Linked DNA regions of Rattus norvegicus. The protein of the gene in region 2 binds, or shares a complex with, the protein of the main gene of each other region. Links are inferred from orthologs where the notes say so. Each region holds a gene or a part of one and is shown on either strand. Other genes may lie near its edges.

What was found. The genes of interacting proteins can lie anywhere in the genome.
Region 1: Smarcd3 (region 2) and Dpf1 share a complex: the UniProt entries of both Homo sapiens proteins name them as parts of the neuron-specific chromatin remodeling complex. The link is inferred for Rattus norvegicus from reciprocal best matches to the Homo sapiens genes SMARCD3 and DPF1.

What each region holds. Positions count from the first base shown.
Region 1 is NC_086019.1:93,735,934-93,741,882, reverse strand, and holds part of Dpf1 (zinc finger protein neuro-d4), read right to left. Parts: intron 4,752-5,949; coding exon 4,624-4,751; intron 4,462-4,623; coding exon of another isoform or gene 4,408-4,461; coding exon 4,318-4,407; intron 3,072-4,317; coding exon 2,993-3,071; intron 2,841-2,992; coding exon 2,709-2,840; intron 1,831-2,708; coding exon 1,780-1,830; intron 1,687-1,779; coding exon 1,567-1,686; intron 495-1,566; coding exon 382-494; intron 1-381. UniProt on the Homo sapiens protein: May have an important role in developing neurons by participating in regulation of cell survival, possibly as a neurospecific transcription factor. Belongs to the neuron-specific chromatin remodeling complex (nBAF complex).
Region 2 is NC_086022.1:11,465,525-11,471,473, forward strand, and holds part of Smarcd3 (SWI/SNF-related matrix-associated actin-dependent regulator of chromatin subfamily D member 3), read left to right. Parts: intron 1-886; coding exon 887-1,098; intron 1,099-2,871; coding exon 2,872-2,914; intron 2,915-3,642; coding exon 3,643-3,765; intron 3,766-3,887; coding exon 3,888-4,010; coding exon of another isoform or gene 4,011-4,046; intron 4,047-4,227; coding exon of another isoform or gene 4,228-4,247; coding exon 4,248-4,343; intron 4,344-4,489; coding exon 4,490-4,591; intron 4,592-4,742; coding exon 4,743-4,904; intron 4,905-5,392; exon of another isoform or gene 5,393-5,822; coding exon 5,823-5,920; exon of another isoform or gene 5,921-5,949. UniProt on the Homo sapiens protein: Involved in transcriptional activation and repression of select genes by chromatin remodeling (alteration of DNA-nucleosome topology).

The sequences.
Region 1 (5,949 bases), on a different chromosome or scaffold from region 2:
AGTGTGGTCTGGATTCTGTAGCTACAGAACGCTGAACGATGTTCAACTAGCCAGAGACCAACTTGGGACCAATATATAGGTTCGAATGCTGGCCCTACGACCTTCTGAGCTTGGCGACCTCAGGCGTCATTCTCCCTCTCTGAGCTCAGTATCGTCTCTGTGTAGTGGGAACCAGAGCACCAGCCTCAAGGGAGGCTGGGAGGCATCAAGGGGAAGAATATGACAAAGGAACACTAGGGACGATGGTGACCGTAATGCATGCTAATGCTGGTCACCCAGGGGTTATGAACAAGGAAGGCTTTAGGCTTCACGAGCAAAGGTGGCAGAGCCAGGCCGGAAGGGAAGCTGGGGATGTGCCCGGGAGGTGGGGCGGGCACTCACGTCATTCTCCGAGGTGCCACACAGGCTGCAGGACTTGCATTCGATACACTGCCAGCGGTAGGTCCGCACGGCTGCGGTCATGTTCACCGTGAACTGTAAACACGAGGGATGTCCTGGGGGTTGAGGGGCAGGGAGGCCGTTAGCGGAGTCGTTGTACCTCTGGTGGCTACTGACACGTGGGGAGGTAATGGCTCTATCCTCAGCCCCGACCCAGAGGTCAAGGTGAGCTCTGCAGTGGGACCCTAACCCTGAGACCAACATCCGGAAGCTCGACTGTCGGGCAAGCAGCCGTGTGTTGGCCACCACAGTCTCCTACTCAGCCACCATGACAACCACACTCTGCTCCCCAGAACACCATGGCAACCACATTCCATTACCCACAGTGCTGTGGCAACCACGTTCTACCACCCACAACACCGCGGCCACCACAGTCTGTTAAGTATTGCGCTAGGCAGCCACATTCCAATACCCACAGCAGAGCGTCCAGCCCTCCTGTTAACCACAGCAACGTGGCAGCCGACCTCTGCCAACCAGGATGCTATGGCAACTGAGTTCCACAACAGGGTCCCCACACCTTGCTTCTCTGAAAACCAAAGGCCATCCCGCACCAGGCACCAGCAAACGAACTTCCTCTGACAACACTCGCGGTGTGAATCGGCTCAGCCATTCTCCCACGGCGCGAAGGCACCTGTAGCCACTGCCCACAGCACCCAACGGTTACAACTACATCTCTCAGAGCCAGACGCCAGTAGCCACAGCACTCTGCCCACAGCACATCACAGCCACAGTCCATCATCCACGCTGCTCAAGTGACCAGCCTTACTACCCAGGAGGCCTCCATGGAAAACCACACTGTATTAACCACAGTTCTACAGCACACAATCCTGCTATTCACAGCACCCAGGTGGTGCAATTGCTCCCACACCTCCGTCCCCTACCCACAATGCCTCCCTAGCTTCTCTCTACTCTCCTTGCCGGGAAAGCACAAAGCCAGGGCACCTTGTACTGTTGGTTCCCACTGTGCCAGCAAGCCTGCTCAGTCTGTCACAAACCCCTGCAGCAGAGGCAGCCCCTAGGACAGGCTAGGGACAGCCCCTTACTCGCCTGCCTCCCACTCCCTAAATTCAGATTCTGAGATGTCCTCCTCCCGCCTCCGATCTTCCAGAAATACGTAGTGAGTTTCACCTGATCGCCCGCAGTCCGCACAGGAGATGAGGTCCTCAGGACATCCAGTCTTCTTGGAGCCCCCCAGGCAAAAGTCACAGTAGCCATTGGGGATGACAGTGCCATCTGGTGCTTTCTTGGCTGAAAGACAGCAGGCAGCGGTGGGCACAGGACAGGTGAGGCGTGCCAGTCAAAGACTACTGCAGAAGTCGGGGAGGAGGGAGGTGCCCCTACCTGTGTGTTTCCTCTGTGCCTCGGGGACCCAGGCCAATTCTTTGTAAAACTCTGGGGGTAGGGGGACAGAAAGGGGCTCTTACCATAGGCAAGGTCCCATCTGTCCCCAGCCTCAGCCCCAGGGGCGGACCCTTGGCCCAGGCACTGGGAAGTAGCAAGAAAGCTGGGGGAGGGACAAGGAATGCTCACCAGAACCCTAACTCTTAGGATTCTATTTGGGTATGTTTTCTCTATTTGGGTAAAAGTGTGAGGATAGACATAACCTTAGCAAGAACCCATGGCTGCTGCCACCATCGTGTGTTTGCACCCCCCAGGTAAGCTTGCCTAGGCCAACGCTTAGCCCGCAGTTCTGCAACGCCTAATCAGGAGGACATTGTTATAGCACAGAAGGTTCTGGGTCAGGCCTGTGGATTTGTAGAAGCTGTCTTTGAGGGACAGGTGAGCTAGGCCCCCTCCCCCCATGGTTCAGTTGTCATGGCATGGAACAGCCATGAGTGGGTATCAAGGACCCTGGGGACCTTGCCCCTGGACCCTAGCATAGCAGAGGAGACAAGGGAGGTCTAGGAAGAGAGGGGATCATCTACCACCCCACTCCAGGTTCTAATTGAAACAATAAATCAGACCCAGAAATAAACCCGGGAAGGGAGTGAGTGAAAGAGTGAGAGAGACAGAGAGAGAGAGAGAGAGAGAGAGAGAGAGAGAGAGACAGAGAGAGAGAGAGAGAGAGAGAGAGAGAGAGAGAGGGGGTTGGTTGTCATGGCAACCCTAGAGCCAGCATCCCTATGATTGGTGGGGGAGGGAACCGTGAAGATTTTTTCCAGAAATGTCTAACTGTGCCTCCACCTCCCCAGACACTACCAGTCTCCACCGCCCCCGCCCCACCCCTCGCACCTCACCCACCAGCCTTGACCCTCCAACTCACAACTCACGTTTATGGTTGTTTTTCCGGTGGAAAGGCAGGGCGTGGCGCTCAGTGTGCTCCTCCCCCTCCTCCTCAGCCAGGTGGGTGTGGGTGTAGTGGTAGCTAAGCCCTGGCCGGTTCTTATACCTCTTCCCACAGACTGGAGGGGAAGTGAGCAGGTGGTTGTCAGACTCCAGGGCCACCTCCTCCACCCCGGGTCTCCAGGATCACACCCCCCTGCTCTGCCAAGGGCCAAAAGGGAGAGTCCCTGGGTCCCACACCCCCTCTCTCTTTCCCCTCGGCAGAACTCACTATCACAGACGTACGGCTTGTCTCGGTCCTCCAAGGATGCGTTGTCCTGGCGTTTCCGGAGACCTCCAATGCCATACGCCTGTAGGGAGGAGGGTTAGGAGTAAGGAAGCCAGGAAACCAGGGAAAGGCTCATCATTCCTGGGGCTTTTGAGTTTGTCCTTGTCGTTGCTGTCGTTGCTTTAGACAGAGTCTCATGGTGTAGCCCTGCCTGACCTGGAATTCACTCTGTCGATCAGACTGGCCTTAAACATGCAGTGATCCTCCTGCCTCTGGGTTACGGGTATGTGCTACCATGCCTTAGTGGGTTTCTTCATTTAGACTTGAAAATTCAAACTGAAGAAAAAAGTTAAAATTTTCTTAGTACTAGGGGTGTGGCTCAGTGACAGAGCAGGTGTCATGGGAGTATGAGACTCTGGGTGCCATCGCAGAGCCACACAGCAATAATGAAGTCTCCCCATTAAAACCAGGCACATTTTCTAGCTGTGAGCCTTTGAACTTCTCGCAGTACACCTATTAGATAGTTCTTTTTGGTGTTGTTTTGAGACAGAGTCTCTCCACACAGTCCTTGCTGTCCGAGAACTCGCTATACAGATCAGGTTGGCCTTGAACTCACAGAGGTCCTCTTGCCTCAGCCTCTCCAGTGTTGGAATTAAAGGTGTGTTCTAACACTTTTTTACTGCTCATAATGGAGGGTGTGTGTGTATGTGTGTATGTGTGTGTTGTGTGTGTGTATGTTTGATTGTGTGCATGTAGTAAATGTGTATTTGCATATGTGTCTGTATATGTGGTGTATATGCATGGTATATGTGTGTATATGTTCGTATATGCAGGTGCACTTGTGTGTGTGGTGTGCATGTATATGTGTGTTTATGTGTGTATGTGGAGTGTATATTTGTCCATGTGTTTGTATGTGTGTATATCCACATGTGGTTATGCATACGTGTTTGTACGTGTTCGTATGTGTGCATACATGTTTGTGTGTGTGTTTGTGTGTGTGTTGCTGTTGTTGTCTGGGTGGCTGGTTTGGTTTAGGATTTTTTTTTTCTTTTTGCACATGGTCTCTTTATGGAGTTCAGAATAGCCTGGGATTCACTTCTCCCAAACTTGGAGCAATTCTCCTGCCTCAGCCTCCCAGGTACTGGGATTACAAGTGTGGGCTGCCACACCCAGGTCTGCAAGACAGTTCTGATCCACAAGCTCCAATTTTGAAATTGTTATAATCCACTGAGTTTCCATTTCCTCACCCATAAGAATGGGTGCAAAACCCTCTACTCCTTCACATAGCTCTGGGGAGGAGGTGGGAGGGAGAAGCTTCTGGAAGATACCTTTCCTTTGGCCCTGTTCTTCCTCCTGGGAATGTCTTCCTCCAAGTCTTCTACCTCGAGATCATGCGGAAACTCCAGCAACTGCTGTTTCTGGGCCCAGTAGAAGGGAGATTGGGGGGTCAAGAAGGTGGGGGCACTGATGTGCTGCAGGTGGGGTGGGAGAGCAAGTCAGGGAGCCTTCTACAAGCAGAGGTGTTCTGGGAGAATGGGGCTGTAGGGTCCCCAAAGGCCCTGTGGAGCCGGGCATCTCAGAGCAGGAAGGCATAGTGGTGACAGCGCACCTGCAGCCAGGGAGGGGGCTCCTACCTGACAGTCCATAATGGTCTCCTCCTCCTTCAACTCCACTTTCTTCTCTCCAGTCTCAGCGCACAGCAGAGCCTCAAGGACTGGCCCTTCCGGGAGGCCACCCTCCTTCTTCAGAGGTGCCTCACAATCTGGGGACAGTCCACAGGGAAAGGGGTATCAGTTGAAGAGGCTGTGGTCAAAGTGCCCAGGTTGCAGGCAGGTGGGGGTGGGAGCGTGGTCCTTGTAGCAGGGGCAGCCTCTCCCACGCTCAACCAACAATGGACATAAGGATTCAACTCGGGCCCTGGAAAGAATGCCCATACCCTGGGGAGACACAGCCATGCCCTCAGCTCTACTAGATAAAGAAGACAGGGCGAGACCCGCATACACCAGAAACCCTCAGGAACAATAGCAGACCCTCATAAACACCTGCACAGTGAAAAGGCGCCTAGACCCTCAGATACACCCAAAGAAAGTTAGAAAGACATTTGAATAGGATACATACAGACACATATGCGGGACATGCAGATAGATGGCCAGCCACACGAAGGAACACAGCCAACCTTTGAGTACAGCTGGACACACAGAAGAGATACGATTAAGTCCTTGGATACAGAGATACTCAGGAAGAGACAGGCAGAGCCTCAGAGAAATCTGGGCCTTCGTTAATTAGGAAGACACAGGCAGGCCACGTGATACACCTGGACACTCAGAGACAACCCCAAGGAGAAGCACTCAAATGTGGTCACACACTTGCACAGAGAAACACAGTCTGACATACACCGGAAATCACAGCCAGTCAGCACTTCCAGTACTCCTGATACAAGCAAACCTTCACACACACATTTGGACAGAGGACGAGACCAATGTCTGCCTTTCCAGAACACACTGGAAAACTCCAGAAGAAACACCTAACCCAGAAAGGCTCTCACAGACACTACCCTAACAGGATGCGCTGACAGAATCACATAGAGCCCAGAAAAAGCTAGGTACGCACAGACCTACCACCCACACACAATCAAATACACACTTTCTGATACATATTCTCTCTTGGAAACACCTAGAAAGGAACAGGCATTCTAAAACACTCAAGCAGTGAATACAACTAGACACCCTTAACTCAGTGGCTCTCAACCTTCCTAAAAGTGTGACCCTAAATTTAATACAGTTCCCCATGTTGTGGTCACCCCCAGCCATAAGATGATTTCGTTGCTACTTTGTAACAGTAATTTTGCTACAGATACAAATCGTGAATGTAAATAGGTTATGCGGGGTCTTGACCCACAGCTGGAGAACTGTGGCTAACTCTTAACACATACACGGTGAGACAGCCCTCAAGCACCCACA
Region 2 (5,949 bases):
TCCTGGGATTGGGTGGGGAATGGGTTGACTCTTATGTGATCAGATGGGAGAGGGAATGAATGCTGCTACAGATGCTGCTTCCTTCAACCGTCCCTGCACTGGCAGCCCACTTCTAGTCCAGTTCCCCACTTGCCACTAGGCAGAGTCTGATGACACCAGACCCTCAGGTGCCCTTGCCTCTTGTATCACCTTGGGAGAAATGACATTAAAGAGGCAGGCTAAGTCGGTGGGTGTGGAGACCTGGAGTTAGCTGAACCAGTTATGTTTGAGATTGAGGTGCCAAAGCCGGGGGCTCTGAAAGGGAGATGGGGGCTCAAGTACAAAGCACATCAGCCCCAGAAGTGGGGTGTGGAAATTGGGAAATGAGAAATGAGGACAGGAAATCAGCCCCTCACCGCAGCGAAGCAGCGGGGAGCAGGGCCGGTCAGGTGCTGCCTTTGCCGGGAAGAGCAGGGTGACCTTGGCGAGGTCGCTTTTTTCTTTGAGCCCCAGTTGCCCCATCTGTCAAGTGGGGATGAAAAGACCTGCTCTGACTGGCTCGCAGAGAGCCGTACGGATATGAACATCCTTTGAAAGGTTGAAAGGCGCCATTAATATTCATTTTTGGGGTACCTTGCACGGCTCCGAGACTCGGCTATGCTCTGGGCAATTGCCTGGCTTCAGTTAGCTTCATGCTAGGAGACGCCAAGCCCCCTCCTCCAGAGCCGCGCAGATCCCCGCGCCCCCGCCCCTCCCACCAATCACTCCCACTCATCGCTCAGCGCAGGGTTACCAGCCCAGGGTCTTGGAGAAGGGCGGGAGCGCAAGCACGCTGGCCTGGGGGTCGGGACCAAATCTGACCTGCCCGCGCCGGTTTCTGCTTCACCTCCCGCCCCACCCCCGCCAGCGCCCCGGGATGCCGTCTGGAGCCCGAATGCCCCACCAGGGGGCGCCCATGGGCCCCCCGGGCTCCCCGTACATGGGCAGCCCCGCGGTACGACCCGGCCTGGCCCCCGCGGGCATGGAGCCCGCCCGCAAGCGAGCAGCGCCCCCGCCCGGGCAGAGCCAGGCACAAGGCCAGGGCCAGCCGGTGCCCACCGCCCCAGCGCGGAGCCGCAGGTGAGTGCCCCCTAACATCCCCCCCCCCGCGTGAAAGGGCGTGCAGGGGCGGGCAGGCAGAAGCCTCAGGGACCAGGTGGGTGAGTGGTGGGGATGGGAAGCTAAGGAAAGATGTTAGGGATGTTAGCAGCGACGAAGTCATTGTAGCTTGGATATTCTCTGGGGAGGGCTTAGGGGGCACTGGTCTGGTTCTTTTGTGTGCCCACAGTGAAGAAGGGCTGCGATAGTCGGCTGCCAGTGTCCCTTCTCTGAACGCACCCTTCATTCTTCTGCTTGTCACCTCCTAAATCCTTTCCCCCATTCTTTACCCCAAGTTCTGAGAGATGCTTCAGTCTTTGGGGAGAGGCAGGGCTGGCAATAGACCAAGGGTTGAGTTTTAGCTGTGTGTTTTCTTAAAATGTAGTCCTCTGGTGGCTCCTGGCTACCTCTGGGCCAGTCCAAAGTCCCGGGCTGCGTCAGAGCCCCTCTAGATTTCCGTAGTCCTCAGCCTTGGCAGTGGGCATGAAGAGGCGCTATAACCTCTCTGAGGGAGCAGTTCTGCCCCCAAGCCACCGGAGCAGCTTATTTCCTTGTCTGAGAAGTTGGTGGCACTCCCATGGTCCCTGCTGGCTCTTGGCAAGAGTAAGGCCTCTATGGGCATCAGTATTTATCCAAACACACATGCTTCCTTTTGCACAACAGATGGGTTCTTATACAAGGTGTAATGTCAATTCTACTTCATTATTAAATAGTTTTTACACATCAAGGAAAATCAGAGGCACCCCATAATAAATTCTTTTACAAAGTGAATCATTATCTTGTATAACAAGTCATTCTCTGATTTTTATGTGTAAGTTAAGAGTTTTGTATGGATAATTTATTTGAAATAAATCAATCCTTTCATGAAATGCTTACCCAGCCTAAGAATGGGTTGGTTTTTCTTTAATGAGTTGCTTGCCTGGGCATAGAATGGATTTCTGGATTGAGAGGGGGCAGTGAGTGAGAATGCCACATGGGGGCAGTGTAGAGCTATCGTCTAGGCTGTGTGTTCTCTCTTGGCCAGCCAAGGGGTTTTCTGCCTTGCTTTTGAAACTGAGAATCATCCAATACCAGGTGCTGTCTACCCTGGGTTCAGCCACATTGGTTCCAGTGCTAAGTCACACTCACATAGAACACTCCTGCACACTTCCAGGGTCCTTGTGGTGTGCCCCTTGGTTGGCAGATGGTCCAAGACCACAAGCATCTCCTTCTCCTGCCTTTAAACAGTCCCTTCCAAGCCCAGAGCCACAGGAGTGCCAAGTCCCACCAGCTTCATTCCATGACAGCTCAGGAGCTCCAGGAACTAAGTGGAGGAGTCACCTCTCCCCTTCTTGGAGCTCTGGCTCTCTTGGGCGTGTGTCTCCTGCTTGGCAGGAGAGGGTCCTCAGAAGCTCTCTTCTCTTCCCTCCATCTTCCCCACCTCCAGGCTTTTTGCAAACACTTCTGCAATCCCCATCTTTTGACAGCATCTTCTCTTTCACTAGTTCCTTCTAAGTCTGAGTTTCTCTGGCTCTGAGGACGTGATGAGATATAAGGTGGGGGTTAGGGGGTGCCAAGCAAGAGAAAGGACCAGTCATCCTGCCTTCCAGGGGAGTACCAGCTCCACGTCGCTGCTGTAGCCCTCAGACAGGCAGACAAGCAGGCTGTGGGAACCCCAGCCAGCGGGCGGAGATGTCGGGATAATTTAGCAGGTGGCCTCGTTACTCCCAGATCTGTCGCCATGGTAACCTGGTTTTTTCTTTTAAAAATGTACAGTGCCAAGAGGAGGAAGATGGCTGACAAAATCCTCCCTCAAAGGGTGAGTGCCTTTCACAGCAGCCCCCAGCCAGCCCCCACCCTTTGCTACTCCACCCTCCCCTCCTCCCTTAGGAGCAAAGCTTTGGGCTCAGCGTCACAGCCACTTTCACTTTTTGTTTTAAAAGCTCATTAAGAAGTGAGGTTCCCTTCACGAGAGGGTGGGGCTGGGCTGGGGGAAGGAGCTGGAGAGCCATGGAGGGAGGAGGGGCAGAACAGAGGGCCTGAGGTTAAGGGGGTTGAATACCAGTGGTTCAAAGGCATAGAGGCACTGCACAAAGAAGAGACGGGAAACTGCTAGGTGAAGGGAACGGAAAGTGTAGCAGGAGGAGCAGCAGGTGTGGAGCTCCTGAGGCCACCTACACTACCTCCCAACTCTCTGGGATACCCAGAATCCCTTAGCACTTCTCAGGGACCCAGGGTGTCTTCTGTATGAGTCGGGGTGATGGGATGAAGCTAGGCACTTGCACCTGCTGGGCTGCCAGTTGCTGCTGCTTCCCAGTGATGAGATGCATGAGTTTTCCTGGAGGGAGAAGCAATTTTTATCCACACACAATGAGGCTATATAATAGCGTCCGGGGGACAAGCCCTATCTTCACTCTCAGGACTCCGCAGCCTGAAATCAATTGGACAGCTCCCTCTGTGTCCTTTGTGTCCTGTAGTCACACAACAGGCATGCATTCTGCACTGCAAGATGGACTGGGCCCGGCTTCCACTTTGTTCCTCTTTCAGATTCGGGAGCTGGTCCCTGAGTCCCAGGCTTACATGGACCTCCTAGCATTTGAGAGGAAACTGGATCAAACCATTATGCGGAAGCGGGTGGACATCCAGGAGGCCCTGAAGAGGCCCATGAAGGTGCCTTAGTGTGGGAGTGGGAGTAGGAATAGGGCTCTAAGTGCCCTGTCCAGTAGGAGGAAGCAGGGTGCCCCGGGTTGGTGCACACAGCCCTTGTCCTGTACTACACTTTATTTCTACAGCAAAAGCGAAAGCTGCGCCTTTATATCTCCAATACTTTTAACCCCGCGAAGCCCGATGCCGAAGATTCTGATGGCAGCATTGCCTCCTGGGAGCTGCGGGTGGAGGGGAAGCTCTTGGATGATGTACGTCCTGGCCCAGGTCTCTCCAGGTGTCCTGGGGTGGGTATGGGTTGAGTCAAGGACTGAAGTAAATGTCTGCACTAGGAACTGGGAGTCAGCCTGGGCTGGGGAGGGTGGGCCTGGGGACAGTCTGGGGACAGAGGGCTGCCTCTGAGCATACTGCTTGCCTGCCGCCAACTTGGCCCATTCTGTGTCCGTGGTCCCTGTTCTGCCCCCACAGTCCCTGTCACTTTCCCACAGCCCAGTAAGCAGAAGAGGAAGTTTTCTTCCTTCTTCAAGAGTTTGGTCATTGAGTTGGACAAAGACCTTTATGGCCCAGACAACCACCTTGTTGAGGTAAGACAGATTGCCGCTGCCCGTGAATCACAACCTTCCCATCAGCCCTGGAGCAGCTGCAGATTTGGATTGAGGACCATCCTAAAGCCCTAGGCTCTACCAACCCAGATGAGTCTGTGGGTGACCTAGCTCTTCCCCCTGGACAGTGGCACCGGACACCCACAACCCAGGAGACAGATGGGTTCCAAGTGAAGAGACCAGGGGACTTGAGTGTGCGCTGTACCCTGCTCCTGATGCTGGACTATCAGGTTGGTTTTACTCCGTGCCTGCATGCCACACACAGACCCTACTCTCCTTCCTACTCACTTTCTCTAGGGGCATGCTGCCAAGGACCCTAACCTCCACGCCCCATTCTCTATTTCTCCCCTCAATCTCATTTTCCTGGTAACCTTTTCCCAGCCTCCCCAGTTCAAACTGGACCCCCGCTTGGCCCGGCTGCTGGGGTTGCATACGCAGAGCCGCTCAGCCATTGTCCAGGCACTGTGGCAGTACGTGAAGACCAACAGGCTACAGGACTCCCATGACAAGGAATACATCAATGGAGACAAGTATTTCCAGCAGGTAACATGTCCTTAGCCTCAGGATCTGGGGATCAGGGATGGTATCCTAGCAGAAGCACCTCCCTAAGGTAGCTATCTCCTTTTGCTGAGTTCCTGAATAACAGGAATGGTTAGGGCCATGGCCTTGGAGCCAAGAACAGGGTCTTGTCCAGGCTCTTCCTGGATGATCTATTCAGCTGCACCCCAAGGGAAGCAAATGTGGGGCCCTACTAGGGGAGGGGAGGGCACAGCATCCTGCAATGTAACCTTCTTGGTACTTGGAGCTGGGATCTCTGAGGTGCCGCCAGTCTTGGGTCTAGACTTGGGGTCACTTACTTTGCTATCCCTTCTGCCTCTTGGTCTGCTTCTGAAATGAGGGGTGGTGGGAGGTGTGCCATCACATGTGTTTGGCAGCTAGGAAAAACGACATTGCTGAAAGCTGACCCGACAGGTCTAGCAGAGTAGAGCATTGCTATTAATATGTTTTAAAATAAGCACAGTAGAGGAGTCTGAGGAGAAAGAGTAGCTGGTGTTTATTGAGCATTTACCATGTACCACTTCAGACACTTCCTGCTCTGCAGATTCACCCGGTTCTCATAACCACCCATGAGATGGGGTTGGTAATATCCCTATTCTGGAAGTGAAGGCACTAAGACCCAAGGTGCTAGGTAACTTCTCACAGGATGTGGCAGAAGGGACAAACGCTCAAGCAGGCTGACTTAGGACCCCACACTGGCCCCCTAATTATCCTGCTTCTCTACCTCCAGCCCAGCCCACAGCCATCAGCGCCCAGAATTCTGACTTGCCCTCAGCTTCTTGTGGTCTTTCCAGAATGGAAGGACTATTATTAGCTACTGTCTTTACACACACACACACACACACACACACACACACACACACACACACACGAATGATCTCCCTCTCAACTCTCCTGCTTCAGATTTTTGACTGTCCCCGCCTGAAGTTTTCTGAGATTCCCCAGCGTCTCACAGGCCTGCTGCTTCCTCCTGACCCCATTGTGATCAACCATGTCATCAGGTGAGGTGGCCCAGCCTTCCCCACAGAGG